4 linked regions of the Schizosaccharomyces pombe genome follow. Changing the gene in region 1 together with any one later gene gives a genetic interaction. Each region holds a gene or a part of one and is shown on either strand. Other genes may lie near its edges. The genes, in order: cdc15, imp2, bgs1 and rng2.

Region 1 (7,786 bases):
CACAAACTGCGTAAAAAGGCGAACAAAAATTGAGGGTTTGTTCGTTCAATCCTAACGAAGACAAATTTATGTTCTTTGAAATTGGAAAAAAAGTCTGAACACCATTGAAACGCTAATGACTCTTGAACAGGATTCCATGCCAAAGGGAGCTGCAGCGTACCCAAAAGCAAAAGCTCGGCAGAAACTTTCTCATCCAAAAAATTCAAGAACAGTGAAGTTTCGTAGGTGACTACCTCAGATAACAGGCGTAAAAGGATTTGGACAAGTTCAATGCAATTTAAATTACTTTTTTCATATATTTTCGCATAATTAACAAGCTCTTCGCTATAATCCTTTAAGCTATCAACAGAAACTACAGGATTGACATTGAACTCTCTTATATCAAACATCGATGTTGGGGATAGGATAATATGAGAAATGATGGAAAGTTGCGGTAAAGGATTTCTCCAAAGAACCCAGAGAAAGTCCAACGTAAAATTAGTTTGCCTTAACTTGTAAGCATTTGTAAAGATTGTGAAGAACAGTACAAGACTAGGTGTACCCGTTATCATAAATTTAGGATTATCGAACATAGAAAGCATAGCTTCCCAATTTAGGTTTTCAAAAGAGGAAACGATAGCTTTACCCATCAAAACAGTGTCCCAAGCACCATAATCATGTATAGCTACAAGTGAATTTATAAGATAAGCAACATCAGTCTCAGTAGCCGTTCCCGGGGGATATTTTTTAAGAATTGCTTCTTTCATAGACTTAAGTGTAGCTTTGGAAGCTTTCATCGGACCAAACAAAGCTGTAAGAGGGCGTGAATTCGCCAACTTTTTCTCAATTATAGCATCAAACTTTGGAACTTTAATCAAGGGTATTCTGTCATAGTCGGTGGTAAACAAACCTTCCCTGAGCAAATCCAAATCGTTTTTATCAATACTTTGTTGCTGAGTAGGATCGGATAGTTGGTTTAAAAGAGATTGGAATGTGTTTTTAAGCAAAGCAGAAGCTTTCTTTGCTAAAGTAGGTTTAACAGAAGTGGTAAGTCCAATTAAAAGGTTAGTCCTTTCTAACGGGGAGAATTGGAAATGGTCTAAAAATGCCTCTATATCGAAATCTTCAAATACTTCAGAATCAGAACCTGAAATAGCATCACTAAAACGTTTCGCCATGACCCAAGACTTCGTGAGAGATTTTAATTCATCTAGTAGTAATTTATAAGTAGCTAGTCCATCAGAAGATTTACCGGTACCAAAAATACGGTATGAATTTCCTTGAATTAGACGGCGAAGAAAATGGTGGTATACTCTGGGTGCATTTTTGTTGATAAGTTGACGAATCTGTTCAAGTTTCGTATCATATTGGTCTTCCCGTAAGGTCGACAATAAGAAAAGGATTTGTGCTTTAACAATACTTTCAATTTTTGAATCGTTTGGTGGAGGGGTCTTAGAATCTAGTGATATAGGATGCCCAGATTCAGAAGTTGAACTAGATTTCTCTCGTGTCTCCGGCGTTTGTTGTTCTTGGCTCTTCATATTTTTAACGCTTTTCTATTACCATGCCTTTGTGAGGCTATTATTATACTCCTATGCTATTTTCAGCTGATATATTCTTTGAATATTTACAGATGAGATGCAGCAGTATCTGCTAGCAAGTTTGAATGAAAATAGGTGCAGTGGTGTTTTGCAAAAGATATGTCGGTCCTCCTCACTGCCAGGCAGTCTAAGAAAGGATCGAACATTAAATTTAACGAGACTGTATCTTTCGTAAACTTTTTTAACAAAATTTAAGGATAGAGTTAATTTGCAGTTGCTTATTGTGCACTCAGATAGGCAACGGTTGCTAGGGACGGTTGTCACCGCAGTAGTCGCAGTAAACAAACATGTTTACTCTTTTCCTGAAATCGACTACCAGGAATTTACCAACAACAAATCACAAATTTTGCTGCATTTTGTTCTTTCAATAACAAAATGGAGGTTAATGGAGTCTCTCAATCTGAAGCGGCTCCGTACGTTACCAAATCTTCTGTTAAGTTCCGCGATAATTTCTGGGTATGTGTAAATTTGCTGTATTTAGTAAAGCAAAGTTATGTTAACAAAATCGTTGCAGGGATCTGAAGATGCGGGTATGGATGCTCTTATGTCCCGAACAAAATCTTCTCTTTCCGTATTAGAATCAATTGATGAATTTTACGCAAAGCGGTAAGTATGGTTGCCTCGTTTGGAAGTTGCAGCTCTACCTTAAGCGCTACGATGATTCAAGAAATATGTTTTTGGTCGTTTCATTGTCATTTAAGATGTTTTACAGATAATCGTGGATTCTTAAGATAGCTTGTGTAATGAACCGAAGGGTTCGGTATGATTATTGATTAAAGTCTGACTAACTAAATTAGTGCTTCTATTGAGCGTGAGTACGCATCTAAACTGCAAGAGTTAGCTGCCAGCTCAGCAGACATCCCAGAAGTTGGATCAACTTTAAATAATATTTTATCTATGAGAACTGAAACAGGGAGTATGGCCAAAGCGCATGAAGAAGTCTCACAACAGATAAATACCGAATTGCGAAATAAAATTCGCGAGTACATTGATCAGACGGAGCAACAGAAAGTTGTTGCAGCCAATGCCATTGAGGAATTATATCAGAAAAAAACGGCTCTCGAAATAGACTTATCCGAGAAGAAGGATGCCTACGAGTACAGTTGTAACAAGCTGAATAGCTACATGAGACAGACAAAAAAGATGACTGGTCGTGAATTAGACAAATACAATTTAAAAATCCGTCAAGCAGCGCTAGCAGTAAAAAAAATGGATGCGGAATACAGAGAAACAAACGAATTACTTCTTACAGTTACTCGGGAATGGATTGATCGTTGGACAGAGGTCTGTGATGCTTTTCAACATATTGAGGAATATCGTTTAGAGTTTCTCAAAACAAACATGTGGGCCTATGCAAATATAATATCTACTGCTTGTGTAAAAGATGATGAATCTTGTGAAAAGATTCGACTCACACTCGAAAACACTAACATTGATGAAGATATTACTCAAATGATTCAAAACGAAGGTACCGGAACTACAATTCCCCCTTTACCCGAGTTTAATGACTATTTCAAAGAAAACGGATTAAATTATGACATCGACCAGCTCATTTCTAAAGCTCCTTCTTATCCATACTCCTCTTCGCGTCCCTCAGCTTCTGCATCTTTGGCAAGTTCGCCAACACGTAGCGCTTTTCGCCCCAAAACTAGTGAAACAGTTTCATCGGAAGTTGTATCATCACCACCTACTTCACCATTGCATTCACCAGTTAAGCCAGTGTCTAATGAACAAGTTGAACAAGTTACAGAGGTTGAACTTTCTATTCCCGTTCCTTCTATACAAGAAGCTGAATCCCAGAAACCAGTACTTACAGGGAGCTCAATGCGTCGACCTTCTGTAACATCACCAACTTTTGAAGTAGCTGCTCGTCCTTTGACTTCAATGGATGTTAGATCCTCTCATAATGCCGAGACTGAGGTACAGGCTATACCCGCTGCAACAGATATATCACCCGAAGTTAAGGAAGGTAAAAATAGTGAGAATGCTATCACGAAAGATAATGATGATATTATTTTGAGTAGTCAACTTCAACCTACTGCTACCGGAAGTCGGTCATCTAGGTTGTCTTTCTCTCGACATGGACACGGGTCTCAAACTAGTTTGGGATCTATCAAACGAAAATCAATAATGGAGCGTATGGGGAGACCCACTTCTCCCTTCATGGGTTCTAGTTTCTCTAATATGGGTAGCCGAAGTACCTCACCTACTAAAGAAGGATTTGCTAGCAATCAACATGCCACAGGCGCGTCTGTCCAGTCTGATGAGTTAGAAGATATTGACCCCAGAGCTAACGTTGTTTTAAACGTTGGACCCAACATGCTTTCTGTTGGAGAGGCACCAGTGGAATCCACATCCAAAGAAGAAGACAAAGATGTACCCGATCCCATCGCTAATGCAATGGCTGAATTAAGTTCGTCAATGAGAAGACGCCAATCGACATCAGTTGACGATGAAGCGCCTGTTTCTCTTAGTAAGACGTCTTCTTCTACAAGATTAAATGGCTTGGGCTATCACTCTCGAAATACTTCTATAGCTAGTGATATAGATGGCGTTCCCAAAAAGAGTACCTTAGGAGCTCCTCCAGCCGCACACACTTCTGCTCAAATGCAACGCATGAGTAATAGTTTTGCTTCCCAAACAAAGCAGGTGTTCGGAGAGCAACGAACCGAAAATTCAGCTAGAGAATCCCTTCGTCATAGTCGAAGCAATATGAGTAGATCTCCTTCTCCAATGTTATCGAGAAGAAGCTCCACCTTGCGCCCAAGCTTTGAGAGGTCTGCATCTTCTCTTAGTGTACGCCAATCTGATGTCGTTTCGCCAGCACCTTCTACAAGGGCTCGTGGGCAATCAGTGTCTGGTCAACAAAGGCCATCTTCATCTATGTCGTTGTATGGTGAGTACAACAAATCTCAACCTCAGTTGTCTATGCAACGTTCTGTTTCTCCCAATCCGTTAGGCCCTAATCGTAGATCGTCATCAGTCTTACAGTCACAGAAATCTACTTCATCTAACACATCAAACCGAAACAATGGTGGTTATAGTGGATCGAGACCAAGTTCAGAAATGGGTCACAGATATGGGTCTATGAGTGGAAGGTCCATGAGGCAAGTTTCCCAAAGATCCACCAGTCGCGCACGGTCACCAGAGCCGACTAATAGAAATAGCGTTCAATCAAAGAATGTCGATCCACGAGCTACTTTTACGGCTGAAGGAGAGCCAATTTTAGGATATGGTAAGTTCATTAAAGAGAAACTTTAAAAATTTTTAATTTTACTAATTATAATTCAGTTATCGCACTTTATGATTATCAAGCTCAAATACCTGAAGAAATTAGCTTCCAAAAGGGCGATACATTAATGGTTCTTCGCACACAAGAAGATGGATGGTGGGATGGTGAAATTATTAATGTTCCAAATTCAAAACGTGGTTTATTCCCGTCGAACTTTGTTCAGACGGTATAGACACTGATTACCCTCTTTTCTAGATGTTTACACTTGCATTCTTTTTCGCGTGGTTACTATCTCTTACTAATCCGTAATTCCTTATTTTTTTTTTGATGACTTAACGCGAAACGACATGCTTTTTTTTTTTAAATTCATTTCTCGTCATGGTCTAAGCTTCGTTGCATTGCATAGGTATTTATACGCATTTATTTTGATATCTAAAGATTTCTGTTTTAAAGGAAATACACATAGAATCTAGTTGATTGGAATATATTTTATTTTATTTTATTAACAATGTTTGACTCCTTTGTCCTTTGGCTATTGTAAGACGTAAGAATAACACTAATTGTTTTTGAAGATTTCGTGCATTTCAAAGTTTCATATGATTTTTACATCAATTTCAAAACCGATTTTAGTAAATTAAAATCAAGGTACGATTTGGTATGTAGCTTTGACAAGATATAGCTAAATTGCTAATTTTTATCAGTAACTAGAGGATAAAGTTGAATAAACCAAAAATATAACACGATGATGAATTTGCCTGCTCAAAAATATGATATCCGCAGATGTAGGATTCTGAGCTTTACTTTTTAAAAAGAAGCCGACCGATAATTACCAGAAAATGCATTTGTGGATAAGGTATGTTTGAAGAGTGCAAACCCAGATTTTTTGTTTGGCTATAGATACAGTGTGCATCAACTAGCTTGTAAACATGAGTGTTAGGAGATATGAATAGATGCTTATAAAATGATCTGATTGAAAAGAAGTCTCGCTAGCCTGAACAGATAAGATTATTGATTGAGGTATAAAAAGACATAAGACCCTGATTTTGCAAAAACACATGCGTGCCTTTATATTTACATACCTACTTAGTGAAAAAGCTACAGATTTTGTTATTTGCTTTAACGATACAATGAACTGCGGTGAGTTTCGCTTATGAGCTGTTTATTCTATGATACTTTTGAATAATAGAGGTAACAGTTGCTATATATATTGTTATATGTAGGTACTGTTGTAATTTGTCGCTGAGAAAGAACTGAAGAACGAGGATCTATTTATCGTGTATTATTCTTAATAGCTTATATTTTATTGTATTGTTAGCAAGATCTATCTCATGTTCGTATTATCATGACACGATGTGCAAATTGAATGAATGAATGAATAATGATATGTAGCGTAATGCAGTATTACTGACACATACACTGATTTTACACAGTATCTCTAAAGCCGTCAAAAACAGAGAAATTAATTATCGTTAAATTATTTAACGCCATAAATAGAACTACTGCCAAATTCACCAGAATATCATAAATGTAATAACGAAATTTTTCACCAGAACCTTCAATTTTATTGATAGCGGCCGTGATAATTGGTTTTCCCGCACATTTTAGATTACTTAGATCCGATTCATTGGCTGTATCCGTAGCCTTCGGTTTAATTCAGGAAATGCAATTGGTGCGCTGTTAAAGGTAAGGAGCGGCTTCCTCGGTTAAATGACGAATGTCCTGCGTTCCTTTATTTATTTTATTTACATCTTCTTTTCCTTTTCCTTCTTTACTACACATGTCAAATTAATAGCCACTAGCTTGACCGATTAGAGAGAATCCAACTTTTTTCTTTCTCTTTCATTCCTGTTGTTTTGTATCTGTCTACACTTGTTCGTTTTAGCGGTGCGGGATTTCCAAGTGTATTAACGGGTGTCTGTTTGTGAATAGTTTTTTTTTTTGTCTCGTCTTAAGGCTCCTTCGTTTCTAGTTTTGTAATATCTTTTTTTGTATTATTTGATAATTGTTTTCATTTGTTGAGAAAGTACTTGATATTAGCTTCTTGTTCTGTTCGTATTAGTGATTACTTTTAAATTTTTTCAGCAATTGTGCTAAAGTGCCTAATTAATGTCTTATTTATCGAGATCTGCACTCGCTCGGTCAGTCGGGGCTAAACACCTTACTGGGGTATTGAGAAAAATCGGGAGAAGGGGAGGAAGATCGATGCACGTTCTCCCTCTCGCTTCTCCTAGTACTCTTTTAAAAATCTCTTCTCAAACTTTACGTCAAGATTTCACCGTTCTGGGCGCTCGTAATTTTCATTCAAGTTCCGTTCGACTTAATGAATTGACGGATAATTTGCGTAAACTAGATACTATTGAGCGAGAGGTCGAGGATGTGGATGTGTGTATTGTTGGTGCTGGCCCTGCGGGACTTAGTGCTGCCATTCGTATCAAGCAACAAGCTGCCAAAGCCAACAGAGACATTCGTGTCGTGGTACTTGAAAAGGCTGCTGAGCCCGGTAACCACAGCGTATCTGGGGCTGTAATTCAACCTACTGCCTTAGATGAACTACTTCCTAATTGGCGTGATGACCCACCTGAAAACTGTACTGCTGTTACTCACGATAAAATGAAGTTCCTGATCCCAAAATTGCATTTCCCTATTCCTGTCCCTCCAGCCATGAAGAACCACGGAAATTATGTTATGAGTTTAGCAGAATTTACCAGATGGCTAGCTGCAAAGGCCGAAGAATATGGAGTTGAAATATATCCTTCTTTTGCTGCTTCAGAGGTCCTCTACAACAAAGATGGTTCTGTTATTGGCGTTGCCACTAATGATTTTGGTGTCGATAGTAAGGGTTTGCCCAAAGATAATTTCGAACGCGGCATGGCTTTTCACGCACCTGTCACCTTATTTGCTGAAGGTGCTCACGGTTCCCTATCAAAATCTATTATTAAGCGTTTTAATCTTCGAGGAAATTGTGAACCTCAAA
Region 2 (4,991 bases), on another chromosome or scaffold:
TTAGATGAAGAAGGTGCCTGTGAATACCCTAAACTTATTGTTAACTTATTAGTCAAAAGAAAAAAAAGAAAACATACGCCTCGCGTAAGAGGAAGAATCTTGCATTTATAGTAATACAAGCAGATTGTTGTCTTTTATCGTTGGAGACGTTAGTTATAACAACAAAACCACTTTGCTAAGTAACAAAAATAACAGTGAATAGCGATTTCCAATATAGAACCGCAAAAATTTATAGTGAATCGCTTTGCAACTTAAAAAAGATATCGACAACGGCAGGATTCGAACCTGCGCTCCCAAAGGGAATCCGCTGGGCTACAGAATAGCAGGCGAACGCCTTAAAACCACTCGGCCACGTTGTCACAGCTTACTAGGAAATAGTAATTAGTTATACATGAAGCTATTATAGACCTGTGTGTTAACTTAGATTGGTAAAGATTTGATGTTTTTTAAGTTATTACAGAATTTTAGAAGCAAACGAGAATTACTAGAAATATTTAGGTAGAAAATGGTGCAATGAATGACAATAATTCAATCATTTTGAACATAATGCTATATATAACAATCGGTATCATTTTAATCTGCAAAATTCATAAAGATTTATAAGATAATAATCTTATAATGTAGATAACTTAACTAAACGTGTAGCATTCTAAATATCCTATAATGTAAAACAACCAAAATTAGAAATCTAGTATTTTAGATTTAAATGAGAATGAGAAAAGATGAGAAAATGCGAAACTATAATACGAAAGCTAAACCTCGATTTCACGAACAAAATTTGACGGAAATTGCCCACGGTTATGGTCATCCTCTCCAACGACAAATCCCTCCCACCAGCCGTCTTCATAAAGCTTAAGAACTGCAATGGTATCTCCCTTCCTGAAGCTTATCTCTTCGGGTATTGCAGCATCATAATCATATAAAGCAGATACTAAATTCAAGTTAGTAATTGTAATAGCGATGGACAGATTAGACATACCATAACCAAGAATACGTTGACCATCTGTACTTGTTGGATTATCAATACTGGTGTCACCGCCGTCTGTAGGATATGCAGGTAAAGAAAGTCGGTTAGACGTGTTTCCAGTAGCTTTTGTATTTATTGTATCATCAACAAAGGAAGAGTCCCGATCAGTATAAGGCTCGTCATCGGTAGGTGCAGTACCACTTGCTGGATCAACTCGAACACCGAAATCATAATTTGGCTCTAAATTTCCTGGTGTTAAGGAACGAGGAAGTCGGCTGGCATTCTGAGAAAGGGAAGAGGAAGGACGTTTTGGTGACCTACTTTTCCTCAATGTGAATGAACTTCGAGATCCATTCTTTCTTGAATCATAAACGGGTGAAACCGCACGATTCTCCATTTGTAGTACACTACCAAATTCTTCCTGAATTTGTTGACGCCGTGATGGAGTGTTAACATTTGGGCGGGAGTCCTCGGTGAAAGAAACAGAATTAGGACTTGGTAGAGAACCAAGTTCGTTATACCTTGGTGGTAGTGTATTAGAGTTAGGGAAGGCACCAGGAGCAGCAGGCGTAGGATTCTGTTTTGGCTCTTCTTGTAAAGAAAGATGCTTCATCTGTTCATCAGCCGCTGAAGTTAAAGGAGAGTCATTTCTCGGACTTGATAATGCATCCGGAGCCGTATTACCAACGTTTGGAGTCGAAGGACGACTCGTTAATTTAAACTTACTCAAAAAGCTTTTCTTTGGAGAGCTTCTACCATTTTGGGAAGAGTTAGAAGAAACAGTGGTAAGCGATTGAATTGCACTAGGAGTATTAGGAAGGGTATTTTCGAAGGACGACTCATTACGAGCGGTGGCAGAAAGGACGTATGGACGATTCAATGGCATGTTGTCATTTTCTATTTTGGTTTGGGCCCGCTGAAAATTAGCCTGAACCAACTCTACAGAATCATCGGGAACCTCGCCCTTATAATAGTCATAAAATTTTGGAGGTTGAGGAATTCCCGTTCCTGTAGATTTTGCGTCAATAAATTCCAAAACATCCTGAGAGACACTGCACTGTTCAAGATTTTTGCGAATTCGTTCACATGCTTGATCATCATTAAAGCAACTACGAGAGATAAGTAGTGTAAATGTCCACATGACGCTTTTCAGGAAATGTCTTCTTTCTTCTTCAATGTCCTGAAGTTTGTCACAGGTTGACCGCCATTCGTTGGTCCAACGAGCGTATGAATCTCTGACAGCTGCTACAGCTGATTGATAGTCAGAAGAACTAGCAGTGATAGCATTCTGAGTCTTGTTTAATTTCGCATTGTTCTTCTCTAGCTCCTTTCCGAAAAGCATGTTTTGCTGAGAAACATAGTAATTTACTTTCTTGCACAAGTAATGGTATTTGTCTTGAGCTTTAACAAGAGCTTGATGCTTGGAGAGTTTATCCTTATGAACTTTTTCTATCCCCGAAACGATCATCTTTTTCTTGTCCTTTAAAGAGGCAGCGTACCGCGTAAACGCATTTTCGACATCATCCTGAAGCAACTGAGAAATCTGCAAATGAGACTTTGCCATATTGTCAACTTCAGCTTTCATAACTTGGACTGATTCTTTGAGGCAACCAGTTTCCAAAGAACTGAAGGTTGTTCGAGACAACTTTGCCATTCGCTTGGCATAATCTTCTTCAATGTTCGCTCTAAGGTTGAAGTTAGAATAAACGATCATAGCATGTTAAACCCTGCTTCACCTCAAATTTCTCACCTTTCATGATAAAACGACCGAAGCTCTTCATTAATGTGTTTCACATCGCTAAAACGCGAAAGTAAAGCATGATAACCCTCATCATTTGCACCCTAATAAAGAATGTTAGTTAAGGTGTTGTGTTTAACACAAAAATCGAAAGTTTTGGCAGATAATGAGCTATCCACGTTGGCTTAGACACCATACCCAAAAGTAATTTGAAAAACTTTTATCAGGCTTTGCTGAAGATGCATTAAAGCTTAATTGTTGAGACATGTAAACGGAAAAAAACACGAATTAAGAGATTTTTCAATCTCGCCTTTATGGCAGTATTCTTTATTCGTATATGGTGGTGGTGTTGATTGTAAATGAAACTAACAACGAGGTAAACAAACGGCAACGCGTTGCCAGGTGCAGCTTTTCATGTCAACAATTAACAAATTTATCAAGAAAACCGATGTAATGAAGATTTTTCAGCCTTAAACTATCAAAAAAAAGCAATAGAATATTGCAGTGGAAAGATAAAAAGCCTTCAAATGCTGAGATATATATGGTGAACAATTGATTCATTCAAAGTCCACTTTATTCATCCTTGAGACTCTATAATTGTTATCTCTGTTAAGCGCACAAGTTTTGCTCACTATTTTGTATTGATTATGTGTGAATACTGTGATTTGAGAAGCGACCCAAGGCAGTCCTGAAAAAAAATACTTACCATAAACTCCGGTAAGCGAACTTATAGACTTAGACATTATGCTAATAAAACAATGATTTAGCATGTATGTATTTGCAGACTTCACGTTCTGTATAGCTATCTCCCGTCTCAAATCGTTTTACTATGTAAAATATTAAATTTTTGAATGGAATGCAACATGCTATTAATCAAAAACTTAATATACTATGCAAGCGGTTCAGGCGTACTGAAAAGTAATATTTTTTAGATAGCTCGATTTGTACCTGCAGCATCATTCGATGTGAATAAAAAATCGTATAATAATTTGTTTACTTAGTGAAATACACTAATCGAAAAAATAAATAAACACTAAAAAAAACATAAATACAACGTTTATGTGAGTCAAATAGATTAAACATATTCATTTATCAGGTACATACAAAACGCCCTTGTAATTCTCGGTTTTTCTTCCAATTTCCATTATTTTCAATCTTATTTTTTATTTCACGAGATCGCATTTCTTAATAACCCGACTTACGTCATGGGTTGGCGGTAGGGACGCTGATATGTTTACTATATATACAGCAGCCGCCCGGCTTCGGCGGTTTATTCTTTAACAAAACAACTGGTGATAAATACTCATTCTATCACACTTAAACACTAGGTGAGATTAAAGTTATTAATTGCTTTTGTCCCTATACATTTGCGAAGTTTTGATAATACGACCAACCTTGAATTTTTTGTACATCCTCTGAAATTATAAATAATGGAACGCGAAGGTAAAGAAGACGTTCGTAAAGCCGACCACAAGATTGTTTATGGTATTGAACGTGTGCGACATGGAATTAACAACTTTTTTGATGACGTTGGAAAAGCAGTAAAGTCGGAAAGCGATACTGCCGACTCCAAGAGAAGTGCTGAGGCGAAAGCCGATGAAGCCCCTGCTAAAATGTAGTGTCTAAAATTACAAGTACTTATACTCACTTTTAAAACATGATCCTCCAACTTTTTGTGATGCTGAACTTTACGATCTTAGCCATGCATGGCGAAAACTGTTTATATATCGAATTGATAAAGCCAGTTTGCACAGCAGCAATAGCATTCTTCGTCTATAAGTTATTCAATACAATGCTTGATGAAAGAGAAAACAAAAATCGTTGTCATTAAAGTATAATAGTATTACGGGTAGTTAAAAATGGATAAATTTAACATCAGTCATACCTTGTTTATATGAAAAGCGATATTCTAAATTGTAGAAGTGTAGTTCTTTTTTATCAATTGCATTCTTCTATTTTCTAGAATAAATCCTCCGCATGCATACGCATGCGCTTTGAGACGAATGTGCCTTGAGTAAAACTGGGTTTGAACTTTGCTTTCCGTTCCTCCGTAGGCTGCGGGCTTGAACTGGAGCTTGTTTCCGTACTCATTGGTATTTGCGATATGAATTCTACGTTTAACAATTCGTTTACATCGACAGGAATACCATTATACTCTTCGTCATCTTGAAGTCCTTCAGTCTCTTCAGAAATTGCTGTCCAGCTATTCTTTGTTTCCACTTTCAAAGCAGCAGAATTTATTTGTGGTGATTGAGGGGTATTTCCCGAAAAATTTCTCCATGCACG
Region 3 (9,217 bases), on another chromosome or scaffold:
GAGTTCATGTGCTTTTTTTATCAAGCCAAGTCGTCGACGATTAAAAGTAAGAGCCTTATTTTTTGCATCGGAAATACGCTGTATCTAAATGGTACGTTAGCGAGGAGAAAAGGGGTGTATGAATGGAACCAAACCACTATGTAGCACATACAGAACGGCGAGGAGATGAAGGAGCAGTACTAGGAGGAGGATTAATATCCATAGTTAGAGTCCAAATATTTAGGTAATAATATAAATAAGAAGTAGAAAAAGAGCGACAATTAAGAACCAAAATAGTAAAAAAACAACAAAAAAAGGATTAAAAATTAAACCAATTGACTAAATCAACCGAGGAAATTCAGTGAAGTCTAGAAATAAAAATTAGGAGAAAAGGGAGAAGGAAAAAAGGGCGCAAAGAAAGTGAGAGTTTCGACTATTCTTATATTCTTGTTTCGTGATTATTGACAGTGTAATAAAAATCAAAATTAAGGGAAGGCAAAGACGCATGCAAGGAAGTGCAAAACTTAAAGGTTGAAATACAAAATATGATTATCCGCTAGATTCACTTGAATGTATCAGCTTGACTTGAAATGCAGCAAAACAGTAATGGGTACCAAAATGGGATATAATCTAAAGGGATAAGAATACAAGGAAAATGTCGTTAACGTTTTGGGTAGACGAATGAAAAAACCTTTTAATGTAGAAAAAAGAGATAACTTTGGAAGAATTTTAAAAAAGCAGGCAAATATTAGGATATCATTCAATCGGCTCCTATGACTTGAAGTCTAACCCAATACTAAATGTGCAAAAAAAAATAAGGAAGCCGATCACCAAAATAAATGGAAACCAAATAAAAAAAAGCCAAGGATGAAATTCAAAATATTCAATTTGAGACTTTCAAAATGTAAACAAAGCGACAATAACGGCAATGTAAAGTTTGCGGAGACAAAAAATTTCACCTTTGAATATAAATAGAAACACTGAATAGGCAGTACGGAAAAAAATTTTTCTTAAATCAACCCCAGACTTGAACCAAAATATAAAAAATGTGAAATTTGGATGAAAAAGAAGCGTATACAGCGTATCAGGAACGTATAGTTTGTAGGAAAAAACGCTGGATTTATCCTTTTCAAAATCTCGTGGTAAATGTACTGAGCCTTTCTATAAAGCCCACCCAAGCCCTGTAAGGTACCGGACGAAAAAAGTCTCGCTACAGGGGGTTAAGATGATAAGAAAGGCTAGGGTGCTAGATTATTTATCTAATAAGGTAGTGTAAAGAAGTAAAACAAACTAGAGAAGTAGAAAATATAGGAATTAATGAAATGGAGAAAATGAAAAGAGCAGAAGGTGCGACAATAGAAATAGTTGTAGTCAAATGATTGTAAGAAGTTGTTTAAGTGTGACAACTAAATAGTCATCAAAGATTTAAAAGAATATCGCTGTAATAGTCGATTGATAGATAAAAATATTTACAGGATGTGTTTGTTTTTGGGGTATTCGTAAGGGAAATTGCCCAATCCAAGTCTTAACCAGAATATGGAATGGAAACCTTTTCCAATGCCGGCACATTGTTTCTTCCTTTGGATTAACCAATTGCTTTTAAATTCGTACTCGGTTGTCTTTTCATCTTCTTTAGATCCTAACCAGATTTGTTAGCATTCAAATCCGTACTTTTCCCACGCATTCAATACCCAGACATTGTGCGTCTATGATTTTCCCAATTTTCGGGATTTGCGAAAAAAGCCCAATGCCTAGTTCTCTTCATAAGCTCTATACTGTAATAATCATACCTTTGCTAATTGGGATTCGGTACCTTCTAGCTTTGTATTATTTTTACTATTGTTTACCACCCATGTAGACAATCACATATTAGAAATTAGTTTAACAATTCCAAAAAAAAAGAACACTCGTCGCTTATGTTCACTGTAACTGAATTATGGTTTCAGCTACACTTTCTTGACTTTTTGTAGTTTGTTTACTTCTTTTCCAATTCAAATATAGCGTCCTTAGTTTGGTTAAAAGTATCCATCTAAAACGGTAGCTGGGTATAACGATTGATAAGATGCTACACAGTAGCTGCTTATAAATTCTTTCTTTGTTTGACCGGCTATGGCTTTGCTTTGTATGGGGATGGTTTTTTAAGCCTCCTTGTGCCTCGTTGGTGAGTAACCTGAGCCTCCTACCACGCCAGCCTCTAAATTGCTTACACTAAAATAGGCCTCAATAATGTGCACTACCCTTCCCCATTTCGCTGTTAGTTTTGAAAGAACCGGAATGAGTACAACTTGCAGACAACAAACTAGGAACTGGTGGGTTTTGGCTATTTTCACCGTTCTCTTAGTGGAATTACTCTAAAATTTTTGAAAATATATTGATTAATTAGAGTAAATTATCCTTTTTAACGTCAAATTTTTGATTCTGTTGCACGGAATTAATTTTTTCTTCCTTCTTATATATCTATCATTGGTTCCTTCTTTTCTTTTTCCTCTCTTTTTTCCTATTAGCCTCCATACAAAAAGGTTGACTCCATCTTAACATTTGCCAAGTTTTCTTGTGTGATATTATCTTTACGTTAGTTGCTCCATCACTGCTAAGTTTTCGGTGTGTGCAAGATCACCTTTTGTCGTAGCATTGTGTTTGTGTGGACGTTTGGCGTTTGTCCCGGGTTCCTCTTACCCTTTCGCTTCTCTTTTCCTTCCATTTTCCCATCTCCATTTACTTTTTTTTCGCTTTGAGAGATTGTAAATAAGCTTCTGCATACGACAATTTAATTGTTCAATCTAAAGTTTATGTGGAAAGCGATTTTATATTTTCTCCTTTTCTTTTAAAAAAACGTCCTTCCTTGAATCGCTTTTTTAAAAATTTGGTCAGTTTCCTAGGTGTGCATTTGTAAGTACTTCTTTTGGTGCTTGCTGTTTTATGGTATTATTATTGTTGTTTTTATAATTATTTCTTCTTTTTTTTCGCCTCTTTTTTTATAATTTGCATACTGTATTTTTAGGTTCCGTTCATTCCCTTTTGAACCTCCGATATCTTAACTACTCTTTCACTTCGTGATCCCACCCTTTTTCCTACTTTTAGAGCTTTTTCCGCCGTCTTCTCTCATCCGGCATACATATATCACCCTTTTTTCTTCTTTTTAGGATTTGAAAAAGTCTTTTACTTTTTTCATTTCAATCAGCACAAATTTTTTTCTCTTCTACTCTTTTGCCCCCATTTTCCAAGGCTTAACTTCTTTCTTTTTAATCTTTTTTTCAAGGTCTCTTAAATTTATTTCTTTCTTTTGAACATCGTTCCTCATTTGCTAGCATTCTTTCTCACAAATTCCAACTTTTCTTTCTTTCAATTCTTCTTAATTTAAGCATTAAAATTTGTCCTCTCTCCTTCTTTTGAGTCTATTTATTCATCATGGATCAGTATTGGCGTGAACAAGAGGGTCGTGGACTCTTTGAAGATGATGCCAATAGTTATGTCTCTGACGATGATACTATGAGCTCTCTGACCCGTATGATTTACGATAAAAACTCTTCTCGTGATGCATTACATTCTGATTATGATAGCTCTTCATTTAATGTCGATTCCAGTTCAGTTGCTTATCCGGCTTGGAATCAAGCTGGTGAAGAGGCTCCTGTTACTATGGAAGGTGTTCAAGAGATCTTGTTGGACCTTACAAATAAACTTGGTTTTCAAAAAGATAACATGCGTAACATTTTTGATTATGTTATGGTTCTTTTAGATTCTCGGGCATCTCGTATGTCTCCTTCCTCGGCACTGCTTACTATCCATGCCGATGTCATTGGTGGTGAACATGCAAATTTTTCAAAGTGGTACTTTGCTTCTCATTTTAATGACGGTCATGCCATTGGATTTCACGATATGTCTTCCCCAATTGTCGAAACAATGACTTTGAAAGAAGCTGAACAGGCATGGAGAGATCAAATGGCAGCATTTTCACCCCATCGCATGATGGTGCAGGTGTGCCTTTATTTTCTTTGCTGGGGTGAAGCTAACAATGTTCGTTTTGTTCCCGAGTGTCTTTGTTTTATATTTGAATGTGCTTATGATTATTATATCTCTTCGGAAGCTAAAGATGTCGATGCTGCTTTGCCCAAGGAATTTTATTTAGACTCGGTTATCACCCCTATTTATCGATTTATTCATGCACAGCTGTTTGAAATTTTGGACGGCAAATACGTCAGACGAGAAAGAGATCATTCTCAAATCATTGGCTATGATGATATTAATCAATTGTTTTGGTCCTACAAGGGCCTTCAGGAAATCATGTGTGCTGATAAAACTCCGTTGTTAGATTTACCACCGTTTATGCGATATCGACATCTTTCCGATGTTGAATGGAAATCATGTTTTTATAAGTCCTATTACGAGTATCGTTCTTGGTTCCATAACGTTACCAATTTCTCACGTATTTGGGTAATGCATATATCTGCTTACTGGTATTATTCGGCTTATAATTCCCCAAATTTGTACACCAAAAATTATCACATCCGCTTGAATAATAAACCTCCTGCTTCTTGTCGTTGGACAGCTTGTGGTTTAGCTGGTGCTATAGCTTCTTTTATCACCTTGGCAGCTGTGGTTTTCGAATATATACATGTTCCTCGTCGTTATCATTCTGCCAGAAGGTTGTGGCCGAGTATGCTGTTATTGATAAGTACGCTACTTCTAAACATCGCACCTGTTGTTTTCATATTTGCTTCGTCTACGAAAGAGCAGCATTATGCTTCTCGATTGGTTGTAGGAATTGTGCATTTCTTTTTCTCGTTGGTCTGTGTAGTTTACTATTCGATTACGCCGTTACGAAATTTGGTTGGTTTCACCACAAAAAGGTCTGGAAAAAACCTTGCTAACAGATTTTTCACCGCCAATTTCACTCCGACCTCAAAAACAGGTGCTTTCGTTTCTTGGTGTCTTTGGATTACAGTTTTGGTGGCCAAATTCTTGGAATCTTATTTCTTTTTAACTTTGAATTTGGCAGATTCTATCAGATTTTTGGGTGCTATGCGACCTTATGACTGCCGTGATTACATTTTAGGAGCTGGACTATGCAAGGCTCAGCCTAAAATTCTCTTGAGTTTACTGTATTTAACTGATCTTTCTCTGTTTTTCCTTGATACTTATCTATGGTACATTCTTATCAGCACTATCTATTCTTTGGCTTATGCTTTTTGCCTGGGTATCAGTGTGTGGACTCCTTGGAGAGAATTGTTTTACCGCGTTCCCAGAAGAATATATACAAAACTGTTGTATACCGATGACATGGAGATTGTCTTCAAGCCAAAAGTACTTATTTCTCAAGTTTGGAATGCCATTATTATCTCGATGTACAGGGAGCATTTGATTTCCCGTACCCAAATTCAGGAGTTGTTGTACCATCAAGTACCTTCTGAAAAGGCAGGCTATCATACTCTTAGAGCTCCCAACTTTTTCTACTCCCAACAGGTTAAGCATTATAAGCAAGATTTGTTTCCGGCTAATTCAGAAGCTGCTCGAAGAATCTCCTTTTTCGCACAATCCTTGGCTGAATCAATACCCAAGACTAGTTCCATTGATGCCATGCCTACCTTCACTGTTTTGGTTCCTCACTATTCTGAGAAAATTTTGTTATCTTTAAGAGAGATTATTCGCGAGGAAGATCAACTTTCTCGCGTAACTCTATTAGAGTACTTGAAGCAGCTATATCCTGTGGAGTGGAGAAATTTTGTTGATGATACAAAATTACTTGCTGATGAAAATGATTCTGTTATTGGCAGTATCGACAATGAAAAAAATGGAGTAAATAAAGCATATGACCTTCCTTTCTATTGTGTTGGATTTAAATCTGCGACTCCGGAGTATACTTTGAGAACAAGAATTTGGGCCTCTCTGAGAACTCAAACTTTGTATCGCACTATCAACGGTTTCAGTAACTATAGTCGTGCCATCAAACTGTTATACAGAACGGAAACACCAGAATTGGTCGAATGGACAAATGGTGACCCTGTGCGATTAGATGAAGAATTGGATTTAATGGCAAACAGGAAGTTCCGATTCTGTGTCTCCATGCAGCGGTATGCTAAGTTTACCAAAGAAGAAGCCGAAAATGCAGAATTTTTATTAAGAGCGTATCCAGACTTGCAAATTGCATATATGGATGAAGATCCTCAATCTCGACATAATGACGAGCGCCATCTTTATTCTGTACTGATTGACGGTCATTGCCCCATTATGGAAAATGGAAAGCGTCGACCCAAATATCGTATTCGTCTATCTGGTAACCCAATTTTGGGTGACGGTAAATCTGATAATCAAAATATGTCTATTCCTTACATTAGAGGTGAATATGTACAAATGATCGATGCCAACCAGGATAATTATTTGGAAGAATGTCTAAAGATTCGTAGCATTCTTGCTGAATTTGAGCAACTTACTCCTCCCTTACATAGCCCTTACTCGGTAAATGCCAAAGCTGCTGACAATCATCCCGTAGCTATTCTCGGTGCTAGAGAATACATTTTTTCAGAAAATACAGGTATGCTTGGAGATGTAGCTGCTGGAAAGGAACAAACATTTGGTACTCTTTTCGCTCGTATTTTATCGTTGATTGGTGGAAAATTGCATTACGGACATCCTGATTTTATTAATGTTTTGTTTATGATTACTCGTGGCGGCGTTTCAAAAGCACAAAAAGGTCTGCATGTTAATGAAGATATTTATGCAGGTATGATTGCTCTTCAACGTGGAGGACGTATTAAGCATTGTGATTACTATCAATGTGGTAAGGGTCGTGACTTGGGTTTTGGCTCAATTCTTAACTTTACTACGAAAATTGGAACGGGTATGGCGGAACAAATGCTTTCAAGAGAATATTTCAACCTTGGCACACAATTACCGTTTGATAGGTTTTTGTCATTTTTCTATGCCCACGCTGGATTTCACGTCAATAACATGGTCATCATGTTTTCTTTACAGTTATTGATGCTTGTTATTATTAATTTGGGAGCAATGTACACTGTTGTTCCGGTTTGTAGATACCGCCAATTTGACTCCTTGACAGCTTCTTTGTACCCTGAAGGTTGTTATCAATTAAAACCAGTTCTCGAGTGGTTGAAGCGTTGTATTTTGTCTATTTTCATTGTCTTTGGTATTGCTTTTGTTCCACTTGCTGTTTGTGAATTAGGGGAACGCGGTGCCATCCGAATGGTTATTCGTTTAGCGAAACAAATATTCTCTCTATCTCCTATTTTTGAAATTTTCACATGCCAAATATATGCGCAGAGTTTAATTGCAAATCTTACGTTTGGTGGTGCACGCTATATTGGTACTAGCAGAGGTTTTGCTACTGTTCGTGTGCCGTTCTCACTATTGTATTCTCGATTCTCTGGACCATCACTTTATTTTGGGTCACGACTTATGTACATGTTATTGTTTGGTTCAATTACTGCTTGGTTGCCGCATTATATTTACTTTTGGATTACGCTGACTGCTCTTTGCATTAGTCCATTCCTTTACAATCCCCATCAATTCGCCTGGACCGATTTCTTTGTTGATTATCGTGAGTTTATGCGCTGGCTATTCCGCGAAAATTCACGCAATCAAGCAAATTCATGGATTGGCAACTGTCAACTTTGCCGTACCAGAGTAACTGGGTATAAACGTAAAATATATGGTAAGAAGGCAGATAAAATTGCTATGGATTCCCCGCGTGCGAGAATTACTACAATGTTTTATGGTGAAATATTAGGGCCTCTAGGAACACTATTTTTCACGTGTATTCCATTTCTCTTTATCAATTCCCAACCTGGTAACGATGATGAGACCCAATCTACTAATGCTTTTATTCGCTTGATTATTATGTCAGTTGCTCCTTTGGTTTTAAGTGCAATTATTGCTTTTTTCTTTTTCTGTTTAGGAATCATGTTACGTCCTATTCTCGGCGATAGATCTAAAACGTATGGTGTATATTTGGCTGGAGTGGCCCATTTCCTTTTTGTGTGTGTTGATGTTGTTGTCTTTGAAGTATTGGGCTATTTGGAAGGTTGGTCATTTTCAAAAACTTTACTTGGATTTGTAGCAATCATTTCAATTCACAGGTTTGCTCATAAATTTTTTATCATATGTTTCCTGTCTCGAGAATTTCGTCATGATGGTGCCAATTTAGCTTGGTGGTCTGGACGTTGGAATGGCCAAGGTTTTGGATATATGGTTTTAACGCAACCATGGAGAGAATTTGTGTGTAAAACTACAGAGTTGAATATGTTTGCTGGTGATTTCCTTTTAAGTCATCTTTTGTTGTTTTTGCAAGCGCCTGTTATTTTGATTCCTTATATCGACAAACTTCACTCGATCATATTATTCTGGCTTGTGCCCAGCAGACAAATTCGACCCCCAATTTATACCATAAGACAAAACAAACTTCGTCGTCAAATAGTTCTTCGCTATGCCACTTTGTACTTTTCATTGTTTATTGCCTTTTTTGTTCTTTTAATTTTGCCTTTTGTGTTTGGTAAATCAGCTGCTGGAACTTCAATGGATAAATTTAATCTGATTCAGCCAGCGACAAAGATTGTTTATTCTTCAACAAAGAATTCTTCTGTCTAAAGCATTTTATTTTTTTTTAAAGGATTTGTGTGATGTGGATGCTTATTTCTCATTAGAAATGCTCTCAATTAGGGTAAATAATAATTATTATATTTGCATTTTGTTAAATAAAAAATGACTTGAGTGTTGATTAAGTATCTAGTACTTGAGAATATATTATCTAAATAAGTAATGAAGAACGATTGATGGTTAGAGCAAACACAAACTTAATGTCTGTTACATGAGAAAAAATTATTGGTGCACCGTCTGCCCGTAATGTGATATTGATTATGTTATTACGTTCACATTTACAAATCGCTTGAAGAGATAAGGCTAACGGATTTTGAAACGTTTTGTTTAGCATCTTTAGTACGGTGGTACTCATCTGAAAGTTTCTTCATAAGTTCCTTGTGAGTGATGTGTGGGTGTAGCTTTCGTAGTCTCTTAGAATTCTCCTTTAAAAAAATTTGAAATGCATTGGGCTGTTTTATTTTGGGGCAAATTTGTTTAATTTGTGATTTGCATAACCTACAAACTTGTTTCTGTGGATTGATGGATTTTGAGTGCCTTCCATAAAGTTTGTTGCATTTTTCATTAATACACAGCCATTTATACTTGAAGTCAATATCATAATTGTGTTTAGAGGTAATTTCTATATAAG
Region 4 (8,767 bases), 1.2 Mb from region 1:
GTAGTAAAACATAAAAAACCATTACTTCTTAAATTTTTCACTTCTTTAATCTGTACTTATTTTAAACAATTCTATTTGTAATTTCGTAAATGCGATATTTATGGGTTTATTAATTTCTTAAGTATAAGTAATACACGAGTGCAGTCAGCATAGCCAAATAATTAATTTTTAGAAAACAGTTATGAATTTCTATTTGAAACAAAGTACGATTGAGAAGCGAATTGTTCACTTGTCCACCGTTTGTATTTGTATATTATTTGCAAAAGAATAAAACGCAAGATAAATGTTAGCCGAAAATATAACGTTAGCAATGTTATTCCTTTTAATATTCAAGAATTGGTCGATCTTATCATACGAGAAACGTGAACGTATGATACAAAGCTATTCCCAGCTAATAAATAAATTTTTCTATGAATAATAATTTATTTATTAATCGTAGATTCAGAATTTAATTGAAATATTATAATAGCTCAAATAGAAAAATTCCTAAACACACGTACAATAAGATACGTTGCAACGCGTTAACACACTGTCGCTCTAACTAAAGCTATCTGTTTCATTTAACCATAACCAAGATACTTCGATAATTTTCCGCTTAGTCGCCTCACAAATAGGTTAGTGCAATCTTTTTTCAAAACCCTCACACTTTGTAGAAACTCAAGAAAATGTCCTTTGATAGAAAAGATATTGGTATTAAGGGCCTCGTGTTGTACACTCCCAATCAGGTATGTTATAAATGAGTCGCTACTTTATTTCAAAACTTCTCCTCCAAATTATTTGCATGCATTACCTACATCTTTTTTCAATAGTACAAATTTACGCAAGCTTCAGAGGAAAGTAATAGAAATACTTTCTCATTAAATTCCTTCAGAACCTGATATTAATCGTTTTTACCCTATAGTATGTTGAACAAGCTGCCCTCGAAGCGCATGATGGAGTCTCTACTGGAAAGTATACTATTGGCCTCGGCTTGACTAAGATGGCTTTTGTCGACGATCGTGAAGACATTTATTCCTTTGGTCTTACCGCTCTTTCTCAACTTATCAAGAGATACCAAATTGATATAAGCAAGATTGGTCGTTTGGAAGTTGGAACTGAGACTATCATCGATAAATCTAAGTCTGTCAAAAGTGTTTTAATGCAACTTTTTGGGGATAACCACAATGTCGAAGGTATTGATTGTGTTAATGCCTGTTATGGTGGCGTGAACGCTCTTTTTAACACAATCGATTGGATTGAGTCTTCTGCTTGGGATGGCCGTGATGGTATAGTTGTCGCTGGTGATATTGCTCTCTATGCCAAGGGCAATGCTCGTCCTACCGGTGGTGCTGGTTGTGTCGCCCTTTTGGTTGGTCCTAATGCCCCTATTGTTTTTGAACCTGGTCTACGTGGTACTTACATGCAACATGCTTACGATTTTTACAAACCCGATTTGACGAGTGAATACCCTTACGTTGATGGCCATTTTTCTCTTGAATGTTATGTTAAAGCTCTTGATGGAGCATATGCTAATTACAATGTTCGTGATGTTGCTAAGAATGGAAAAAGTCAAGGACTTGGATTGGATCGTTTTGATTATTGCATTTTCCACGCTCCTACTTGCAAACAAGTCCAAAAAGCATATGCGCGTTTATTGTACACCGATAGCGCTGCTGAACCATCTAATCCCGAGTTGGAAGGTGTCCGTGAACTTCTTAGCACCCTGGATGCTAAGAAATCCCTTACCGACAAGGCTTTAGAAAAAGGTCTTATGGCCATAACTAAAGAGCGTTTTAACAAACGAGTTTCCCCTAGTGTCTATGCCCCTACCAACTGTGGTAATATGTACACTGCCAGTATTTTCTCTTGTTTAACTGCATTACTTAGCCGTGTCCCCGCTGATGAACTTAAAGGAAAACGCGTCGGTGCTTACTCTTATGGTTCTGGTTTGGCTGCCTCGTTTTTTTCATTCGTTGTCAAAGGCGACGTCTCTGAAATTGCCAAGAAAACTAACTTGGTTAACGATTTGGATAATCGTCATTGTTTAACCCCTACGCAGTATGAAGAGGCTATTGAGCTACGCCATCAAGCACACTTGAAAAAGAATTTTACTCCCAAAGGAAGCATCGAACGTCTTCGTTCAGGTACTTACTACCTTACTGGTATTGATGACATGTTCCGCCGTAGCTATTCGGTGAAGCCTTAAATCACCGAAAAAAAGATTAGAATGCAAACTAGATACTGTTAAAATCTCTTTTAGTAGACTTTTTTTTGATACATGAATATGTGATTTTGACAACTTTTTTGTTAATTATTTAAAACTCATACGTATTGTAGTCTTAAAATGAATAACCTTCATTTGTAATAGCATAACCTAAATAATTAGAGTAAATTCGTCACTAACGGACAGTATCTTGAATTAAACTACTTACACCTAAAAACCCCCCACTCATCTTGATAACCCACATTTTCTTTGTCTGAGTAACAGCTACTCTCCACTAACATAGCCGAAAAATTGTGTGCAGTTACTTTATCTAGTTTGAGATCGAATGCTGAGTAGGTAGTCATCAGAAGTCTCAATGGACGTAAATGTGGGATTATCTAGACTTCAATCTCAAGCTGGGGCACCTGTTGGCACGAAAGGGTCGAACACTCGTTTAGCAGCCAAACAAAGAGAAACCCTTCAAGCATATGATTATTTGTGTAGGGTTGATGAAGCAAAAAAATGGATAGAAGAATGCCTCGGCACAGATCTAGGACCAACGTCTACATTTGAGCAGTCGCTGCGAAACGGAGTTGTCTTGGCTCTCTTGGTTCAGAAATTTCAACCCGATAAACTAATCAAGATATTCTATTCTAATGAACTCCAGTTTCGCCATTCAGATAACATTAATAAGTTTCTTGACTTTATCCATGGCATTGGGCTTCCCGAAATTTTTCATTTCGAACTGACTGACATTTACGAAGGGAAAAATTTACCCAAAGTTATCTATTGTATTCATGCCCTTTCTTATTTCCTTTCTATGCAGGACTTGGCACCCCCTTTAATCAAGAGTGATGAAAATCTATCTTTTACTGATGAAGACGTTTCAATAATAGTCCGTAGACTCCGACAATCTAATGTAATCCTTCCTAACTTCAAAGCTTTAAGTGCCGATTTTATGCTTCGTGCTAGTCCTGTTTCTTCTCGCACTCCTTCCCCTACACGATTTCCCAAGCATGCTCGTTTCCAAACCCTAAATTCATCAGATTCTGCATCTATATATTCGTCTCCTTATACTTCTCCTACTTTAGAATTTTCGAAGAAAGATGCTAGCGCTCGTTCAGACATCCTTAAGATGCACAGAAGGACGAAATCAGCGACACCTTCGTTAGAACAATTTAATGAACCATATAAACAAACTTTGCCTAGTCATTCAATCGAATTCGAAGACTCTTTTTTTCAACCCCCTTCTCAAAAGGGACATATGCAACGATCTTTCCTCACAACATTTTCAGCACCCACAAGAAGACGGGAGGCACTATTTTCTACCACTTCTGGACTTAGTCAGCGTAGCCCTGTCGATGAGAAAATCGTGAACGCGATTCAAGCTTGTGGTCGTGGCGTACTTGTGCGCTTGCGTTTGGTGGATATGTTACAATCCCTCGTGGAACAAAGTTCTTCTGTCGTACTTCTGCAAGCCGTAATTCGTGGATATATATCTAGAAATACATACAGAATACGAAAGAAAGCATACGATGAACTTGTAAACTGGGTTACTTCTATTCAATCCATCTCTCGTGCATATCTGATACGTGCACAATACCGTAAAGTGGTTTTACAGGAGGAGGCAACGAAGTCAATCCAAACGTTACAAAGCATTATTCGTGGGGGTTTCTATCGTCGTAAATACCACTCGTTAATAGAGAGGCTAGACTTATTTACACCATCATTTGTGTTAATTCAATCCTCAGCTTTAGGATTTCTTACCCGTCATGCAATAGTTAATATGCTTGACAACCTTTACAACTATATCCCTCTCTTTAACCGGATGCAAAGTATACTGCGTGCAAATATGTTTCGGAATGAATGGTCTAACTTTCTAGATTCCGTACAATCGTTTCCCGTTTCTTTTCACTCTATTTGCAAAGGACGCTTGATAAGGGATTCTATAAACAGATTAAATGGATCACTTCTGGGAGAACTGGATAATTTTATTAAACTACAAAATTTATCTCGAGGATTTATGATTCGTCGGGCATTTAAAGAGAAATTGGAGAAATTAAAAGCATCAACATCCTCTTTCATTGCTCTACAGGCAATTGTTCGGGCTTTTCTTTTAAGAAAAAACTTGGAAAGCATTTATGATTCTTTTCAAAAATCGCACCTATCTGTCATTAAAGCCCAATCTCTTTATCGGGGATTCATTACTCGAACCAAAATTGATTATTGTAACGACTATTTGTTAAAGCGATTACCAGATATCGTGTTTATGCAATCTGCAGTCCGTGCAATTCTTTTACGAGATGATGTGAATTATACTGAAGTTCAGTTAGATTCTTTTATTCCTGAAATTGTATTGTTACAATCTTTAATTCGTGGGTATCTATCTCGAAACAAATTTTCAAGAAAACTTCAAAATTTTCATAAGAATATGGAGAATCCCATAGTTGCGAAGTCCATTTTTAGGGGTCGTCAAGAAGGGTTGGCTTATAGAGAACTTGCTACGGCCAAAAATCCACCTGTTATGACGGTCAAAAATTTTGTTCATTTATTAGACGACACCAATTTCGACTTTGAGGAAGAAGTATTGCTTGAAAAAATGAGAAAAGAAATTGTGCAACAAGTACGAGACAATGAAGAAATTGAAGTTCACATCAATGAACTAGACGTGAAGATTGCTTTGTTGGTTAAAAACAAAATCAGTTTGGATGATGTTTTAAAACATCACAACAAGTATAAATTTGGAAAGCAAAGCACTGAATATTTAAAAATTAATACTCTGTCTATGAAGTCACTCAACAATTCAAGCAGAAAATTTTTGGAACTTTATCAGTGTTTTTTCTATGTGTTACAAACCAACGAAATGTACTTAGCAAATTATTTTCAAGCGCTAAAAACTGAGGGCACTTCCTCTGTAAAGATCCGTCATGCTGTTTATTTAGTTTTGCAAATTTTCGGCCATGGCTCTAACCGACGAGAAGAAGTACTACTTTTGAGATTCATTTCCCAAGTCATTAAGCTAGAAGCAGCTTTAGTTAATTCATCTCAGGATCTACTTTCTGATGACTGTGTCTGGAAATTACTGTTCACTGGATATCGTGGGGACGTTCGTGAAGTGAAGCTTTGGAAAACTATTCTCGGCCGCATTCACAAGGTTTTAGTAGCCGACAATCATTTGGATTTTGAAATCAATCCGTTGACTCTATTTAAAAGTTTCAATCCTGAAGTTGCCAGTCAAACTGATAGTCCAAAACTCACTTTGTCGTTAGCAATGCAACACCCACCGACAAGAAATCTATACGTTAGCAGACTTCGTGAACTTCGAAAACTGTGTCAATCATTCCTAGTAGCACTTTCTAAGAATATTGAAAATATTCCTTATGCTTTATGCTATACTGCAGCACAATTGAAAAATAGCTTACAACGATATTTCCCCGCTGCGCATAAAGAAGAAATTTTTGGCGTAATAGGGAAATTTGTTTATTGGGCTTATGTCGCTCCTGTACTTGTGTCACCCGATAACTTCAAGTTGGTTGATGGCTCTATTACAGCTCTTCAACGAAAAAACCTTTACACATTGTCAAGCATTTTGTCTGAGATCTTTTCAATCGAGTCCTGTGACTCTAAGCAACTTGGTTTTTTTAGACCACTCTCCGAGTTTATTGAGGTGTCCAAGCAGGATACCATGTTGATGCTAGAAAGGCTTGTCGATGTGGTTGATCCAGAGGTGTACTTTGAGTTCGATGCTTTTGAAGACCTTGTTAATACCAAGCGGCCAGTAATATACATGAAGCGAGACGATATTTTAGGCATTTATTCATCTATTGCATATGTCATAGATAGTATTGCTCCTCCTGATGTGAACGATCCATTACGCGCTGTTGTCAATAGCTTAGGTCCTGTTTCAGAGCAAGACAATGACTTTGTGCAAGATGAAACTGACGTCAAACTAGAATTGAATCCCAAATTTTGCACTATAGAAAATCCCGTTGCTCAGGAACGGACTCTTATTGTTCAGACAAAGAGATATATATTATTTATTATTCGAATTCAAAATGGCCTTAATCTTTTGGAAATACTTGTCAAACCGGTTACAGATTCAGACGAAGCAGCATGGCAAAATTTATTGGCAGAAGAATCTGAAAAGAATGCAAGGAATTATGATTTGTTTGATGATTCTATCTTTTCAATGTCATTTGCAGAACTGAAATACACTGCACTAAGCAATATAGTGGAAATGGAAAAGCTTGGATTTGCAAACCGACGGAATAATTACCAAGATATGGTAAATTCTATCGCTCTAGATATCCGTAATAAGTCGAGAAGAAGGATGCAACGACAGCGTGAACTTGATGCGGGACATCAAAGTTTGCTTAACTTACGAGAAAAAAGAGCTTTCCTTGATTCGCAGCTAAAAAGTTATAACGAATACATTGAACAAGCTATGGAAACATTACAATCAAAGAAGGGTAAGAAGAAGCTTATTCCTTTTTCTAAACAGTATTTTCACATGCGAGATCTCCGAAAATCTGGACGCGTTCCTCGCTTTGGGTCGTTCAAGTACCCAGCTCTTAAACTCTATGACCGAGGAGTTTTGGTATCAATATCTCATATGCCGCAGAAAGAAAAATTGTATATTACTATATCAGCCGATGAAGTTGGCAAATTTATTCTGGAAGCAACAAGCCCGACAGTTAAAGTTTCGAGCCCAAGGTGTGAATTGCATTTGGACGACTTGTTGTCTGCTCAATATAACAAGGTTTTAACTTTGGATGTTTTGGATGGCCGTCTCAAATTAAACACCAATATGTTCTTACATTTGATTTTCTCCAAATTTTATTCATGAGACGTTTCACTTTGTTCATTTTTCCGTCTCTTTAACTACCCAATGATTTAATTCGAATTAACTTAAAACCGTCAAATATCTTTGCACATTAATACTTGTCCATATTCTTTTGGCGAAATATGTATACTATGTGATATTTTCTCCCCTTTAATTCTGATAATTTGCACAGTTTTCCCATTTCATTCACTTAGTGTGGGGGGTTTTTTTATCACTACTTGTGTTTACTTATACTGTACAAATCTTATTTAACTCGGTGTTATTTTTCAAATTTTTTTTTTCAACTAAAGCCGTTGAACCTGAAACACTAAATCAAGGAATAGGAATTTTTGGTTTATGCATACTAGTTGTACTTGGTAATTTATACTTTCTGAATTAGTTAAAGGTTTATAATTACAAATAACACTTTTTTATAACAAAATGTAATTTATGTCAATACATACATCTTTACTAATTCTTATAAGGCGATTCGATTGAGCATGATTATGTTCAAATTAACCTTTGGATATGGGTAGGTGTTTGGTTGACAAACTTCTTAAGCGTGTTGCATTTTAACGAAGAAAATTTGAATTTTCAAATCCCGTATAGCGTGTAAAAAAATATACATTAAACACGTATTATGAGCAGAAGACTACATAGACCTAATATGAAATAAAACGCACAAAAGAATATTACGCACAAATAATGGCGAGGGTCACCACCATACAAAGTAATATTCACTACCACAATTCAGCTGACAAATACCATTACCTAAATGGCGTCGTTACCACCGGGGAATCCTCCTCCACCGCCTCCTCCGCCTGGATTTGAGCCTCCTTCACAGCCTCCACCTCCTCCACCTCCAGGTTATGTGAAGAAAAGAAAAAACAAGACTCCAGCACAGTCTGGAAATCTTGAAAAGCAACTTAACGAAAGAGCACGCAAATGGCGCGCTTCTCAAAAATCAAAGTTTGGTGTCAAAAGGAAGCAGGGTTATGTTCAAACAGAGAAAGCTGATCTTCCGCCTGAGCACCTGCGCAAAATTATGAAAGACAGGGGAGATATGTCTTCTAGGAAGTTTCGTGCTGATAAACGTTCCTATTTGGGCGCTTTGAAGTACTTGCCACATGCTGTGCTAAAATTGCTTGAGAACATGCCAATGCCTTGGGAAGAATACAGGGAGGTCAAGGTTTTATATCATGTAACCGGTGCTATAACTTTTGTAAACGAGAGTCCTCGCGTAATTGAACCGCATTTTATTGCTCAATGGGGAACGATGTGGATGATGATGAGACGCGAGAAGCGTGATCGAAAAAATTTTAAGCGTTTGCGGTTTCCTCCTTTTGACGATGAAGAGCCACCATTTTCTATTGATCAATTGCTTGATTTAGAGCCGTTAGAGGCTATTAGAATGGACTTAGATGAAGAAGATGACGCTCCTGTTATGGATTGGTTTTACGAAAATAAGGCTTTGGAAGATACTCCCCATGTAAATGGTCCAACCTATCGTCGTTGGAAGCTTAATTTACCTCAGATGGCTAATTTACATCGTTTAGGTTACCAACTTTTGAGTGATTTACGCGATGATAATTACTTTTACTTGTTTAATGACAATAGTTTCTTTACGGCTAAAGCTTTGAACGTGGCTATCCCAGGAGGTCCGAAATTTGAACCTTTATACAAAGACGAAGCCCCAGAAATGGAAGATTGGAATGAATTTAATGACATTTATAAACTTATTATCCGACATCCCATTAAAACTG

Evidence for each region.
Region 2: mutations in cdc15 (region 1) and imp2 are lethal when combined (synthetic lethality), as found in Schizosaccharomyces pombe (5 studies listed by BioGRID, with this or other methods).
Region 3: of cdc15 (region 1) and bgs1, changing one enhances a phenotype caused by changing the other (phenotypic enhancement), as found in Schizosaccharomyces pombe (4 studies listed by BioGRID, with this or other methods).
Region 4: mutations in cdc15 (region 1) and rng2 are lethal when combined (synthetic lethality), as found in Schizosaccharomyces pombe (3 studies listed by BioGRID).

What each region holds. Positions count from the first base shown.
Region 1 is NC_003424.3:1,397,056-1,404,841, reverse strand, and holds cdc15 (F-BAR domain protein Cdc15), read left to right. Parts: upstream 1-1,905; 5' UTR 1,906-1,955; coding exon 1,956-2,036; intron 2,037-2,094; coding exon 2,095-2,186; intron 2,187-2,362; exon of another isoform or gene 2,363-2,377; coding exon 2,378-4,815; exon of another isoform or gene 4,816-4,826; intron 4,827-4,871; coding exon 4,872-5,044; 3' UTR 5,045-5,642; downstream 5,643-7,786. Other genes in the region: CCR4-Not complex subunit Not1, read right to left, coding at 1-1,520; cir2 (electron transfer flavoprotein-ubiquinone oxidoreductase), read left to right, coding at 6,919-7,786. UniProt on the Schizosaccharomyces pombe protein: After the onset of mitosis, forms a ring-like structure which colocalizes with the medial actin ring. Appears to mediate cytoskeletal rearrangements required for cytokinesis. Essential for viability.
Region 2 is NC_003423.3:3,345,962-3,350,952, reverse strand, and holds imp2 (F-BAR domain protein Imp2), read right to left. Parts: upstream 3,054-4,991; 5' UTR 2,973-3,053; coding exon 2,904-2,972; exon of another isoform or gene 2,810-2,903; coding exon 2,718-2,809; exon of another isoform or gene 2,653-2,717; coding exon 980-2,652; exon of another isoform or gene 932-979; coding exon 753-931; 3' UTR 501-752; downstream 1-500. Other genes in the region: protein Ndc80, read right to left, coding at 1-28, 78-105; protein tam11, read left to right, coding at 4,136-4,324; SPOM_SPBC11C11.01 (U2-associated protein), read right to left, coding at 4,665-4,991. UniProt on the Schizosaccharomyces pombe protein: Required for normal septation. Involved in the disassembly of the medial ring during septation.
Region 3 is NC_003423.3:2,350,414-2,359,630, reverse strand, and holds bgs1 (primary septum and spore wall linear 1,3-beta-glucan synthase catalytic subunit Bgs1), read left to right. Parts: upstream 1-2,266; 5' UTR 2,267-3,387; coding exon 3,388-8,577; 3' UTR 8,578-8,709; downstream 8,710-9,217. Other genes in the region: DNA-binding transcription factor, MADS-box Mbx1, read right to left, coding at 1-84, 152-202; SPOM_SPBC19G7.04 (protein-DNA covalent cross-linking repair protein), read right to left, coding at 8,865-9,217. UniProt on the Schizosaccharomyces pombe protein: Alternate catalytic subunit of the 1,3-beta-glucan synthase (GS) complex. Synthesizes 1,3-beta-glucan, a major structural component of the fungal cell wall. Required for the assembly of the division septum and maintenance of cell polarity.
Region 4 is NC_003424.3:2,642,959-2,651,725, forward strand, and holds rng2 (IQ motif containing GTPase activating protein), read left to right. Parts: upstream 1-2,469; 5' UTR 2,470-2,558; coding exon 2,559-7,028; 3' UTR 7,029-7,469; downstream 7,470-8,767. Other genes in the region: hcs1 (3-hydroxy-3-methylglutaryl-CoA synthase), read left to right, coding at 666-725, 902-2,185; U5 snRNP complex subunit Spp42, read left to right, coding at 7,780-8,767. UniProt on the Schizosaccharomyces pombe protein: Component of the contractile F-actin ring; required for its construction following assembly of F-actin at the division site.